Linked DNA regions of Elephas maximus indicus. The protein of the gene in region 2 interacts with the protein of the main gene of each other region in a pairwise test. Links are inferred from orthologs where the notes say so. Each region holds a gene or a part of one and is shown on either strand. Other genes may lie near its edges.

Region 1 (7,419 bases), on a different chromosome or scaffold from region 2:
TGGTTCACCCACTATAATGATTCTTAGAAATGCAGGGACATTTTATACTTATGTCAACAGTATCATGCATACTAGGCTCTTTTAAAAACGTTTAACAAATGAAAAGTCAATGTATAATAGGAAAAAAAATTATGGTAGTCTTTGAAATGGTCTTTAATAGAAGCAATCAGAAGCCACATCCAGGTGACTGTTTTGCTGAAACTCTAGATGTTTTACCCCAACATCTGTCTGCTTACTGCATCTGTCTTTCCTCCTATGCAAGGCCAGCCCTCCACCTGTGAAGCAGATCTTACCTCCTTTCACTTACTCAAGGACATCCTTCCCGAAGTTCTACCAGCTCTCTCCCACATCATTCATTGTCCCATCATTTTACCGTCATCAGCTTATAAAACAAACTATAATTCTTGCGCCTTTAACAACCCCAAAACTTCTTGACCTCACATCTCCATTTATGTTCTCTTCCATTGCAAAACTCCTTGAAAGAACTGTCTATACTTCCTGTCTCCAATTCCTCTTCTCCCAGTCTCTCTGCGACCCACTTCAAGCATGCCTTTTACCCTTAACTATCCACTGCAAAAGGAGCCATGAAGTGGTTAAGCCCTCAGCTGCTAACTGAAAGTTCGATAGTTCGAATCTACCAGCTGTTCTGCGGGTGAAGATGTGGCAGTGTGCTCCCATAAAGATTTACAGCCTTGGAAATCCTGAGGGACAGTTCTACTCTGTCCTATAGGGTCACTGTGAGTTGGAATTGACTCCATGACAATGAGTTTATCCACTGCAAATGCCTTTGTAATTGTTTCCATGATCTTTATGTTATTTATCTATTGTTCAGTTCTCAATCCTTCTTTTACTTGACCAAAATATCCCCCTTTTCTTTTCATCCCCACTATTTCTCAGTCTTTATTGCTGGTTCATCTTCGTCTCTCTGACTTTTAAACTTTGGGGTGCCACTGACTCAGTCCTCGGGCATCTTCTCTGCAGTCACTCCTTTGTAATTTTGTCCATTCTTTTGGCTTTAAATACCATCTATACTCTGCTAACTCTCAAGTTTAGTTTTCCAGTCCAGACCTCTCTCCGGAACTCTAGGGTCATATCTGCCTACTTGAATATCTAATCGGCTTTTCAAACTTTACATACCCAAAACCAAATTCTTGATCTCCAACCTCAAAACAGAGAAAAATTAATTTCTTCCCACAATCTTCTTCATCTCAGTTTATCTAGGTTTCCAGTTTATTATATTAAATCCTTGGAGGTATCCTTGACTCTTCTCTTTCTCTCACACACTCCATATAATCTTTTGGTAAATCCTACTAAGTCTATCTTCAAAGCATATCCATAATCTGATCCTTTCTCAGTATGTCCACCAATGCCATCTTGGTCCAAGTCATCATCTCTTAGTGCAGTTATTACAATAATCCCCTAACTAGTCTTTCTGCCTCACTTCAGTTTACTCTTAACATGGCTGCAAAAGTGATCTTGTTAAAACCCAAGTCAGATCTTCAGGCCTTTGCTCAGAACCCTCCAATGGCTTCCCTTCTCAGTCCAATAAAATCCAAAGTCTTTACAATGGTGTACAAGGCCCCGTGCTCTTTCTCCGTCTCCCCTCTGGACTTCTACTACTGTTTCCTCCACCAATTATACTCCAATCATACTGTTCTCACATTTTCTCAAACATGCCAAACAGTCATCCACCTTAAAAGCTAAGAAAATATTTCTTCCTCAGTGTGAGATGTCTGAGTGCCCTCATATATCTTTATGATTCACTCTCATCTACTTCAGATCTTGGATGAAATGTCATCTTCTCAATAAGCATTTCTACATCATCCTGTTTAAAATTTAAACCTTTCATTTTCTTCTCTCCCATCCCCAACCTCTGCTCATTGGCGGTTCCTCAAAAAGTTAAACATAGAACTACCGCATGATCCAACAATTCCACTCTTAGGTATATACCCAAAAGACTTTAAAACAGGGACTCAAATAGATTCTTGTACACCAATGTTTACTACAGCATTATTCGTAATAGCCAAAAGTGGAAACAACCTAAGTGTCCATCAAAAGATGAATGGATAAACAAAATTTCTAAGAAATAAAATGTCTAATAAATAAAATATCTAGAATAGGTAACTGCATAGAGATAAAAGTCTATTAAATGTTACCAGAGGCTGGGAGAAGAGGGAAATGGGGAGTTACTGCTGAGGGGGTGCTGAGTTTCTGTTTGGAGTGATGAAAAACTTTGGACAATGCATAGTGATAATCGTAGCACAACATGGTCATTAATGTCACTGAATTAAGAATTGGACACTTTAAAATGGCTAAAATGGCAAACATTTTGATACATATATTACCACAATAATTTTTTAAAGGATATGATTATCAACCGAATAAGGCTGCTAGAGAGGAAGAGAACAAAAATGACTCCCAGGTTTCTGGCTTTGATAACAGCATTAAGAGGTGAAATCACCAACTGACATGGAGAATAGTGGAGGAGGAAAAAGTTGTCAGAGGGTGGAGACAATATATGCTGAATTTTGGGCATGCCCAAGTGGAGAGTTGTAGTGGACAGTTAATATATTGGTCTCAAGCTTATAAAAATATCTGAGAGGGAGTCATCAGGCCATATGTGGAGCTGATGTCACAGCAGTGGAGGAGTAGAATGAACCCTGGGAAACATCAGAGTTTAAAGCAATGTTTCCCAGTCTAAGGACTTAGAGCATCAAATCACCTTCTATTTTAAAAATACAGATTCTCTGGAGACCCTCCCTAACCTACGGAATAAGAATCTTTGGAGATGAGACTGAGGAATCTATATATTTTTAAAAGACCCCAGTTAACTCTTCTTGGGCTACCAAGCGGCAACTGCAAATCCAGTGATTAAAGTAATGGATAGAAGAGGAGACCAAGGAGTATATTTAAGAGAAGACGCAAGAAAGGTAACAAATAATAATATTTGCTGTGTACTTACTATGAGTCCAGCATTGTTTTGAATAAACACTTTACTGCACAGTGGTATTAGATCCTCACGATCCTATAAATGGTGGTGGTGGTAATTAGTTGCTGTTGAGTCAATTCAGACTCATGGTGGCCCCAATGTGCACTGAGTAGAACTGATCCATAGAATTTTCAAGGCTGTGACCTTTCAGAAGCAGATTACCAGGCCCGTCTTCTGATGTGCCTCTGGATGTGTTTGAACCGCCAAACTTTTGGCTAGTAGCTGAGTGTTGAACGCTTTGCGAGTAGGTATTATTGTTATCCCCAGTTTACAGATGAGGAATTTGAGGCACGGGGAGGTTGATTAACTTACTTAAGGTCACATAGCTAATAGTTATAGAGCCAGGAATTGAATCTAGCCCTTGCTCTAAAGTCAGTGCTTCAAAAATTTTAAAGTGCTTACAAATCACCTTGGTATTTAAAAATGCGGATTCTTATTGTGTGGGTCTAAGGTGGGAACTGAGATTCTGCATGTGTAACAAACTCACAGGTGACACGAATGTTGCTGATCTTGGGATCACACTTTGGATAGCAAAGATCTACCATTGGTTCTCAACCTTGGTTACATTTTAGAACAACCTGGTAAAGAGTAACAAGTCCCTGGCCCCACCACAAACCAGTTCAAGCAGAATCTTTGGGGCTTGTGCAGAGAAGAATCTGGGAGTGAGGATGGGGCATTAAAAGTAATTAAAATTAATTTATTTAAATAAGAGGAAGAACAACAGCAGCAACAACAAAAGGAAGAAGAAGGAAAAGGAGGAGGGAGGGAGGCAGTGATCATACTGCGCTGACCAAAGAGTGTAATTAAACAAATCAATCTAATTCTGTGGGACCTCGGTGGTCTAATTAAAAGATAAATAAACAAAGCCACAATTTGAAAGTTTAAACTTACCTTGCAAAAAAAAAAAAAAAAAATTAAAAGTAGAATCTTCCTGAGTAGAAAAAAGATAAAGAAAGAAAACCATGAAAGTAACTTTATGGAAAGGATGAAGACCAACCAAATAGAAAGTCCATTCCCTAAGTGCACAAAGAAAATGTTTTAATGAAAGCAATAAAAAAAATTTATTATTTTCTTTAAAATGTTTCCCCAATTTTAAATCAAAAAATGCTAAAGCCAGACATGAAACTATGAATGAATAAAATTAGGATGGTTTTAATTTCAGAAGAAAGAAAGAGGATATGTCTTTTGTTTTTGTTGTTATTAGGTGCTGTCCGGTTGGTTCCGACTCACAGCAACCCTATGCACAACAGAACTAAATACGGCCCTGTTCTGAGCCATCCTTACAATCGTTGTTATGCTTGAGCTCACTGTTGCAGCCACTGTGTCAATCCACCTCTTTGAGGGTCTTCCTCTTTTCTGCCAACCCTGTACTTTGCCAAGCATGTGATGTCCTTCTCCAGGGACTGATCCCTCCTGACAACATGTCCAAAGTATGTAAGATGCAGCCTTGCCATCCTTGCTTCTAAGGAGCATTCTGGTTGTACTTCTTCTAGGACAGATTTGTTCGTTCTTTTGGCAGTCCATGGTATACTCAATATTCTTCGCCAATACTACAATTCAAAGGCGTCCATTCTTCTTCAGTCTTCCTTATTCATTGTCCAGCTTTCACATGCATATGATCCGATTGAAGATACCATGGCTTGGGTCCGGTGCACCTTAGTCTTCAAGGTGACATCTTTGCTCTTCAAAACTTTAAAGAGGTCCTTTGCAGCAGATTTACCCAATGCAATGCATCTTTTGATTTCTTGACTGCTGCTTCCATGGCTGTTGATTGTGGATCCAGGTCAAATGAAATCCTTGACAACTTCAATCTTTTCTCCATTTATCATGATGTTGCTCATTGGTCCAGTTGTGAGGATTTTTGTTTTCTTTATGTTGACGTGTAATCCATAGTGAAGGCTGTGGTCTGATCTTCATTAGTAAGTGCTTCAAGTCCTCTTCACTTTCAGCAAGCAAGGTTGTGTCATCTGTATAACACAGGTTGTTAATGACTCTTCCTCCAACCCTGATGCCCCATTCTTCTTCATATAGTCCGGTTTCTCGTATTATTTGCTCAGCATACAGATTGAATAGGTATGGTGAAAGAATACAACCCTGACACACACCTTTCCTGATTTTATACCAATCAGTATCTCCTTGTTCTGTCCGAACAACTGCCTCTTGATCTATGTAAAGGTTCCTCATGAGCCCAATCAAGTGTTCTGGAATTCCCATTCTTTGCAATGTTCTTCACAACTGACTGGAAGAGAACCATATTTATGCCTATTCCCAAGAAAGGTGATCCAACCGAATGCAGAAATTATAGAACAATATCATTAATATCATATGCAAGCAAAATTTTGCTGAAGATCATTCAAAAATGGCTGCAGCAGTATATTGATGGGGACCTGCCAGAAATTCAGGCCGGTTTCAGAAGAGGACGTGGAGCCAGGGATATCATTGCTGATGTCACCTGGATCCTGGCTGAAAGCAGAGAATATCAGAAGGATGTTTACCTGTGTTTTATTGACTATGCAGAGGCATTTGACTGTGTGGATCATAACAAATTATGGATAACATTGCGAAGAATGTCTTTTATAAAGAGATCATTAATTTATAAAGCCAGCATATAAATGTATATATCCACATACCCACATAATAAAAAAATGAAATAAAATTGCTCACTACTTAAATTCAAATTTTGTTAATTTCTTCTAAGTAGCTGTAAACTAAACCAATTTGGATATATGCAGATTTGAAAAAAAGATATAAGGGAGGTTTCTGATAAATCTTATATGGTATGTCTCCTTTCAAATATATCTAAAATAAGTTACAGTATTATTCATACAAAGCTGCAAATTGTTTACTATCTGGATAGTCCCTTTATTACATATCCATGTTGTGTAAGAAATTACTCCAAAACTTAGTAGCCTAAGACAACACGCATTTATTATCTCAAGGTTTTTGTAGGTCAGAAATTTGGGAATGGCTTAACTGTGTGGTTCTGATGAGGTTGCAGGGTGTCTCCTGAGGTTGCAGTCAAGATGTAGGCTGGGGCTACAATCAAAGACTTGATTGGGGCTGGAGGATCCACTTCCACAACGTTATTCACATAGCTGTTGGCAGGAGGCCTCAGTTCTTTGCCTTAGGGTTACTTGAGTGTCCTCATGGCCAGGAAGCTGGCTTCTGCAGAGTGAGTGATCCAAGAAGGAGAGAGGAGGAAGCTGCAATGCCTTTTATGACATAGCATCAGAAGTTACATACTGTCCCTTCCTCCATCTCATATTTGTTAGAAGGGAGTCACTAAATCTAGGCCACATTCAAGGGAAAGAGAATGAAACTCCACCACTTCAGGAGAGGAGTATCAGAGGATTTGGAGACATACATTAAAACCAACACAATCTCCCACTTTGGAGAGTGGTGTCTGGGGTCTTAAACACTAGCAAGTGGCCATCTAAGATGCATCAATTGGTCTCAACCCACCTGGATCAAAGGAGAATGAAGAACGCCAAGGACACAAGGTAATTATGAGTCCAAGAGACAGAAAGGGCCACATAAATCAGAGACTACATCAGCCTGAGACCAGAAGAACTAGATGGTGCCTGGCTACAACTGATGACTGCCCTGACAGGGAACACAACAGAGAACCCCTGAAGGAGCAGGGGAGCAGTGGGATGCAGACCTCAAATTCTTGTACAAAGACAAGACTTAATGATCTGACTGAGACTAGAAGGTCCCCAGTGTTCTTGGCCCCCAGTCCTTCTGTTAGCCCGAGACAGGAACCATTCCCAAAGCCAACTCTTCAGACAGGGATTGGACTGGACAATGGAATAGAAAAAGATGCTGGTGAAGAATGAGCTTCTTGGATCAAGTACACACTTGAGATTATGGTGGCATCTCCTATCTGGAGGGGAGATGAGAGGGCAGAGGGGGTCAGAAGCTGGCAAAATGGACATGAAAAGAGAGAGTGGAGGGAGAGACTGGGCTGTCTCATTAGGGGAGAGCAATTAGGAGTATATAGCAAGGTGTATATAAATTTTTGTATGAGAGACTGACTTGATTTGTAAACTTTCACTTGAAGCACGATAAAAATTAAAAAAAAAAAAAAAACACAATCCCTTTCATGTAGTTGTTGTTATTAGTTGCCTTCAAGTCAATTCCACAGCTTAATATCTGAGTTCTCTGTAAAATAGATGATTATCTGTATTTCTGGGAGAAATAAAAAAGCCTAGTTTGCATATCTCCAGTGTCTAACTTCCCCTTCATTCCTTCCACTACATTTCTACCTTCACTTCTCCTATGAATCTCTTCTCCGAAGGTAACTAATGCCTCTCAGATGATAAATTAAATGGATACATTTCACGTCTTATTTTTATATCTCTGCAGCATTTGGTACTGTTAAACACTCCCAACATGAAGCTGTCTTCCTTTTGGCTTCTAATATAATATTG
Region 2 (7,280 bases):
GGGCAGCAGAGCTGGGACTTCAACCAGGGAAGCTGAAAGGCGTTCAAGGAAACCAAAACCTATTGCAGAAGAGTCGATTCTGACTCATGGTGACCCCATACATGACAGAGTAGTATTGCTCTGTAGGGTTTTCTTGGGTGTAATCTTTACAAAAGCAGGTTTCCAGGCCTTTCTTCCAAGGCACCACTGGGTGAATACAAACTGTCAACCTTTGAATTAGTGTTGTTGTTGTGTGCCGTCCGTTGATTCTGACTTATAGCAACCCTATAGAAGAGAGTACGACTGCCCCATAGGGTTTCCTAAACCATAATCTTAGGACTCTAAGATCTAACTAATCTCAGATTGCCAGGTCTTTCTCCCGAAGAGGTGCTGGTGGGTTTGAACCGCTGACCTTTCAGTTAGCAGCTGAGTGCTTAACCACTGCACAACCAGGGTTAGTCCAGTGCAAATCATCTGTACCATTCAGGGACCTGGAAGGTGTTCAGGCTGGTCCAATTCCATGTGCCCATTTGGAACTGTCCCAAGTGCCCACTTCACCCAGGAAAAGTCCCAGGCCCATCCTGTCCTCCCAGTCCCTTCCCACAGACCTACCTGGGTCAGATGCTGTTCAGATGCAAAGCCAAGGCCGTAGACTGTATTGGCACGACTGTCTGCCCATTGCCCGAACTTCTGGGAAGTTTTCGTGAAGGTCATGTTGGGGGTGACAGTGCTGTTGATGATGGCCTGGGGGGCAAAGTTCAAGGGACCGATAATAACAAACATGAAAAGCTCTGAGCATCACTTTGGAGGAGGGCTCGGAGGCTTTGCTCTGAGCTCTTTCAGGAGGGGAGACTGCAGCCTAGGAAGATGCAGGCTACCCCCTGCCAGGGGGCACACAGCAGGGACCCCTGGTGCTCCCTACCCCTAGATCCGCCTCACCTTGGCACCCCCGATGCTGATGATGCGGTAGACATTGCGGGTGGCATCGTAGAAGTAGGAGACGGTGAGGGCGTGCTTGCCCGCGGGGATCCAGTTCCGCTTGGTGGCTGGGTCAATCTGGAATACGTGAGCTCGTGTGCTGAAGATGGGCTGCTCCCTGGAGGAAGAGGGCATTCAGCGGGGTGGAGCTGCACAAGGGAAGGCTGGGGATCGGGGTAGAGGGGGTGCTCACCTGGTTGTGGACATTGGTCAGGCTGGGCTGGGCAGGCTCCAAGGGGTGGCCAGAGGAGGGGCAGGAGCTGCTGGTTCAAAGGGTTAAGCACTGGACTGCTAACCAAAAGGTTGGCAGTTCAAACCTACCCAGAGGCGCCTCAGAAATAAGGCCTGGCTATCTACTTCCAGGAAACCCTGGTGGCATAGTGGTTAAGAGCTACAGCTGCTAACCCAAAGCCTGGCAGTTCGAATCCACCAGACATTCTTTGGAAACCCTATGGGGCAGTTCTACTTTGTCCTATATTGTTGCTATGAGTCAGAATCGACCCAAGAGCAGTGGGTTTGGGTTTATTTCATATCTACTTCCAAAAGGTCACAGCCTTGAAAACTCTACGGAGCACAGTTGTACTCTGCACATGTGGGTCCCGTGCGTCAGAATCCACACAATGGCAACTAACAGTAACAACAACCCCATCTCAGGGAACCCCCACATCATGTGTGGCAGGAGACGCCTCTCTAGGGGAAGTCAGATGTAGTGGAGCCTGAGGGGCCCGGGGAGGACAGCAGGTCTCCTCTCAGCATTCCTGGTATCCCATCATGAACCCCCCACCATCCTGGTCACTGGAGATATCCTGTGAGCCCCCGCAATCCCAGGCTGAGGGGAAACTACTTTCCACCAGATGCATCCAGCACGTCTCAAACCAGGGTGTACCAGCAAAAAGTGGGCCAAGCCCAGGTGCCAAGTGGGAGGCCAGACCCTGCTGGACCCATGAGGGATCCCCAGCTCTGACCCTGGGGCAGTGGCACCACTAGGAGTCAGAGTCCAAATCCCCGGAGAGACCACCACTCCATCAGAAGGATAAGATGTAGCCACACAGGTCCACCCTAGGTGCAGGGTGGACTCCAGATAGAGGAGATTGGGCTCCCCAGCCTCTTAGTAGGTTCCTCTAGCCACCACCCTACAGAAGCCAGGACAAGCAGCCTGGAAGGAGACCTCCTGATGCCCCTCCTGCAGCTCCAAACCTGCAACCAGGGGGTCTGAGGGGACCTGGGAGAGGCCAAGGATGGGGAAGTTGCGGGGGGAGGGGAGCCTGACCCAGCGGTCTCTGTGGTCAGAGCGGGGGTGCCCCCCTCCACCCGTCATGGGCAGCTGCTGTCCCGGTCACAGGTCTGAAACCCGAGTCCCTGGGCTGGGGGAGGGGCGGCCGTTCTGGCCGGGGCTGGGGGCGGGTCCAGGGCCGGCCAAGTTGGGAAACGCCGGAGTCCTCTGAACTCAGGCGCATCCAGCGCGGTAGCTCTTGCCTTGACTTGTGGCGTTCAGGCAAAGTTACTCATGTCCGAGTCACGCACCTAGGACGCCAGCCGCCTGCGCCGGGCTCCCCGAGGGGCCCGACCCTGCCTGGTGACCGGGGATCCCCAATCCTGCCGCAGGAGAGGCCCCACTCCGCGCACCCCAGCCCAGGAGGCCTGGTATTCAGCTAGGACCGGGGTCCCCACTCGTGCCAGGAGCGGGGCACCCCGTGTGCGCCCTAACTTCAGAACGCGCCGACCTTGGAACTTCGGGGATCCCGGGGACAACCTGCTATTCTGAGTTTGGAACTTCGGGGACCTCCATCAGTCGGTGACCTAGAGTCCGGAACTTCAAGGACCCCGCGTCGCCCCCCAGTTTCGAGTCCGGAACTTAGAGGACCGCCGCGTTGCATCCCTCCATCCCGGGTCCAGAACTTCGCAGCCCCCTTCGCCATCTCTCGACCTCGACTTTGGGGACACCCTGCACCCCTCCCGACCCCGAAGCTTCACGGTCTTATGTCCCCACCCCGGTCGGTCTCGCGGGGCTCACCCTGCCGGGTCGGCCGCCGAGTGTCCGGGCGCGAGTCGGGTGCGGCCCGGCGGCACCAACTCCGCGCAGGGCCGGCCGGGCGCCGCTGCCTCGCTCCGGGCCTGCCCGCCGCCCGCGCCTTTGTCTGCGCGCCGCCGCCGCCTGCGCCGCCTCCGGTCCCATCGCAGCCGGTCCCGACGCGGCAGCCGCCCGCCCCGCCTCCCGGCCCGTGAGCTCCCCGCAGCGCCCCTGCTGGCGGCCCAGTGCGCCGGTAGGCAGGGGTGATGGGGGGAAACCCAGGGAGGGGGCGAGGAGCAGAGAGAGGAGCTGGGCGCGGGTCGGGGGTGGGACAGACAGACAGACGGCAACAGACATCTGGGATGACAAGGACACCCAGAGGTAGAGAGATAGGCAGAGACACAGAAGGACACAGAGGAAGAGACGAACAGAGACTGTGGCCTCCAGTCACCACTTGGGGGCCCACCCTAACCCTCCAAGTCACTGCTGCCAGCTGCCCTGGTTGCCCCGGGTCATGACCTTAGGCTTGGGATGGGGGTTAGGTCCCTCCCGGTCAGGTCCCCCCTGTCAGGTCACTCCATAAGGTCCTGAGGCAGGGGCAGGTCTACCCACCTTGGGGATGCCTGAGTGTTGCTGGGAAATTAAGACATCTGGACCAGAAGAAGTGGAAGGGGGACAAAGAGAGAGAGGCAAACAGTAGGCGCTTAATGGGGTTGGCCTGGGGCACCTGCTCAGGATCCTGCCTGCTCTTCCCCGAGCCCTGATCCCTCTGGCCTGGGCGTGTCTGCCTCTGATTCCCCAAAGACAACCCCATAAACTGGGGATCATGATAATTACTGCTGTTGTTATAGGGTCCGAGGTCCAGGGTGGAGGGACTGTCAGTGTCCAGGTGGCAGCCCTGGGTTTGCACTCTCTGAGCTCAAGGTGCCTCCCCCTTCCTGCAGCTGTGACAAGCAGGTCTTTTTGGGGTGGCTGAGCTAGCCCCAGCCTGCCGGTGGGGCTCACTGGTTAGTCCTGTTGCAAAGGGACATTTGGTGGGTGGGCAGAGGCACTGGACTCAGAGCAAGTCCTGGGTTCCCTGAAGCTCCAAACCTAACACGTGAGTTTTCCAACACCCTCAGAGGTTCTGACTTTTGATCTGCCAAGGCCTTGGAGTGCTCTCATCTCTTTTCCCTGTTTTTTTCATTTCCTTTCCCCAAGAACAATCAGGGGAGGTTACCTTCCCCCAAGCTGTGTGTTCAGCCTCATGGCATGGGTCGTGAAGGTAGCTGCCAGCTACCTTCAAAGACCGTTAGGTGAATAATTGAATACCAGGACTTGTTGCTTCTGAAGACATTCCCAGCCCAAGATCAGAATCCCCCTCCCTCTGGGCCTTTGCCCAAGCTGTTCCCTCCACCCAGAAGACCCTCCCTGTAGCATAATTCTGCCTGGTCCTTCCTGGCTCAACTCTACTGCCCCCTCCTCAGAGAAGCTTCTCTGAATATCCTGGGCTTGGAAGGGACCTTATTTTTCCTCCCAACCCACCATCCATTTCCTGTGATCTGAGCCAAGTTACCTGTTTATATCAGTGGGGCCCAGGTGTGAGTTTTCCTTGAGGACCAGTCCCCCCTGCAGCCCCTGCCTCACTCAGCACTGGAGGGACTGCTCACCGGAGTTGGGGAAACCGAGGTGCAAACTCTGTCTCCCCCAGCTGCTTCTAACTTCATGAGGCATCTGAACAAGCAAAGTACTTGGCTTGGCTCTCAGGCCTGATGCCACGAAAGGCGCGAGATCTGTGGGGAACAAAGAAAATACCGTCTGTTCTGTGCAAAGAGTGACTTTTTCCTTATTACCAAAAAAAATAATAAAATAAATAAATAAATGGGAAAGGTTCTGGCCAGGCTGAGGCTCCTTGAAGCCACTGAGGGTTTGCCAAGGGGCTGGCTGGCTGCAGAACCAGGACCACATGATCCATTCTGTGGGGGCAGTTGGGCGAGAGGCCCAGGCCGAAGTTGCTCCTTGTGTGGGTGTGGGCAGAAAGCAACAGTGTGACAAGGAGGAGGGAGTTACATGGCTTCCCTGGGCCTCCTCTAGGGGCTCCAGGAGTACCTGGAACTTGGTGTGCCTTGAGCAGCCCTAACCTGAAGGTGTCTCCACCAGGTCCACATGGAGGAAGTGGCTTTCTCAGTGTAGGCCTCAGTTTTCTCACTTGGAGAATGGGCTAATGCTTACAGGGCTCAGGGAGGAGGTAGTAGAGAGGATCCAGGTGAACCAGCAGCTCCTTACCCTTCTGTGGGTATAGATGGGCAGGGGGCTGCCCTGAATTGCTGACCCCACTTCAGCCTGAGCCCTCCTCTGCCTAAGCCTTGGGACCTCTCTTCCAACGGACTGGGCATGTCTTTGTGGGCCACCACCCCAGGGAGGATAACTAAAAGCTTTCCTTTCAGGCTGAGGAAAGGAGTGAGGGAATGAGTTTCCTGTCACAGGAGAAATCAAGCAGTGGCCAGACTAGTTTGCTTGGCTCTGTGGAAGTTGCCATTTGTAGAGTGACTTTTATGGGTCAGACCCTGTCCCTGCCTAGTTAAATCCAACCTAACCTTCAGACTGAAGCTAAATCATCTCTTTTCCCTGAAGAGGTTGCCTTCCTGACAGACAGGGGATGTGAGGGGATGTAACGCTTCCCCCAGGCCGTGTATACAACCTCATGGCTTGGTTCACAGTGGCCACTTTAAATCTGTTTACGGCATGATTTGGTTACTGTCTACCTCTTCCATGGCTTTGTCGCAACACCCAGATCAAGCCTGACCTGTAGCAGGACCTTCAGAAATGCTTGCCGAAGGGATTCCCAGGCCCTAACCTTGGACCTCAGGGGCCTCCAGAGTCCAGGGCCAGGGAGTGAATTGCAGCCCCGGTTCTTACCAACAGTGTGACCAGGAAGGAGTCACTCTCCCTTGCTGTGCCTCAGTTTCCCATCTGTAAAATGGATATAAGAATGATACCCTCTTTTGAAGCTTGCTATAAAGATCCAGTGAATTCTTATATGAAGAGGGCTGACTCTATGTGCTCAATGAATACTTGCTGTTTGAATCATTATATTCCTGGCTGTCTGGGTGTGCGGTTTTTGATCCGGAGCCAAGTTCTTAACATTTTCTCTTTCAGAGGTTGAAGGGCCCCAAGCAGATGTGAGCTCTAGAGGACAGGAAATTGGTCCAAGCCAAACCTGTTGCCGTTGAGTCAATTCTGACTCATGGTGACCTCATGTGTTACAGAGTAGAACTGAGCTCCATAGGATTTTCTTGGCTGTAATCTTTAGAGAAGCTAGTTGCCAGGCCTTTCTTCTGGGGTGCTGCAAGTTGGGTTAGAACCACCAACCTTTAGATTAGTAGACGAGGGCAAGCTGTTTGTGTCGTCCAGAGACCTAGTCTAAATCCTCTAGGATCCTCTAAATCTTTAGCTCCTAGCCCCTTGTGTGTCCCTCAAGGCTCTCCACTTTTCCTTCTCACCACCCTCCTAGGCACAGCCAGTTGGACCAGCCTTCAGACCGTCTCTTCCTGGCAAACACCTATTCATCCCTCAAAGCCCCACCTCCAATACCCTCTACTCACTCCTCTCCCTCCAGACCCTCTCCAGTCCTCTCTCTCCTTCTGGTCCACCCTGACCCCAGGGAGCTTGCAGTGTCTGTGCCCAGCTCTGACTCCCCCAGCCTGAGGGCTCCCCGAGGCTCAGACGGGACTGAGGCTTCCCTAGGACTTGGCTTCTTCCAGCACAGGGTAGACACATGGGGTTCAGGGTGGAGGAGAATTTGATGACTCACTAATGTTGGTGATTTTTTGTCACTTTATGGTGACCCCACCTTAAATTCAAATCCAACTCAACTTTGACAAACAGCCCCCAGCAAACAATGGAGCCAGGCCTGCTCAGGCCCAGCCACGAAGGGGCCGGGTATGCAGGGGACAGTCTAGAGTCTGGAGGCTTCCCAGATAAAGTGTGCTGGCCCTGGGCTGTGGACTTAAGGGCCCAACACCAGGGCAAGGCAGAGGGCGGGGAGGAAGGAGTCGAGACCACTTCAAGCACCAAGCCAGGCTCTGCAGCTCACTTCCGGAAAACCTAATTACCCTCATTTGCCACACGCGCTAATTACTTCGGGGGCGCCAGGTGGTGGGGCGGGGCTGTCCCACTTTGGGGAGGTAGGTCGGCCGATTATTTTTGGCTGCCTTGTCCTTGAAGGCTCCACCACCCTCCCATATGAAGGGCAGAAAGTGGGGCAAAGAGATCGTAGATGCTGGGGGATGTGGTGTTGGGTGGGTCTCAGAGCTCCCTAAGCAGTGCGGAT

The links.
Region 1: the proteins of HOMER3 (region 2) and FRYL interact in binary tests that used the Homo sapiens proteins (3 or more experiments, as listed by UniProt). The two-hybrid records come from large-scale screens. The link is inferred for Elephas maximus indicus from reciprocal best matches to the Homo sapiens genes HOMER3 and FRYL.

The regions. Positions count from the first base shown.
Region 1 is NC_064823.1:110,297,228-110,304,646, forward strand, and holds the start of FRYL (protein furry homolog-like), read left to right. Parts: upstream 1-4,392; 5' UTR 4,393-4,419; intron 4,420-7,419. UniProt on the Homo sapiens protein: Plays a key role in maintaining the integrity of polarized cell extensions during morphogenesis, regulates the actin cytoskeleton and plays a key role in patterning sensory neuron dendritic fields by promoting avoidance between homologous dendrites as well as by limiting dendritic branching.
Region 2 is NC_064821.1:38,794,633-38,801,912, forward strand, and holds the start of HOMER3 (homer protein homolog 3), read right to left. Parts: upstream 3,077-7,280; 5' UTR 2,972-3,076; intron 1,221-2,971; 5' UTR 1,165-1,220; coding exon 1,151-1,164; intron 1,076-1,150; coding exon 919-1,075; intron 724-918; coding exon 592-723; intron 1-591. UniProt on the Homo sapiens protein: Postsynaptic density scaffolding protein. Binds and cross-links cytoplasmic regions of GRM1, GRM5, ITPR1, DNM3, RYR1, RYR2, SHANK1 and SHANK3.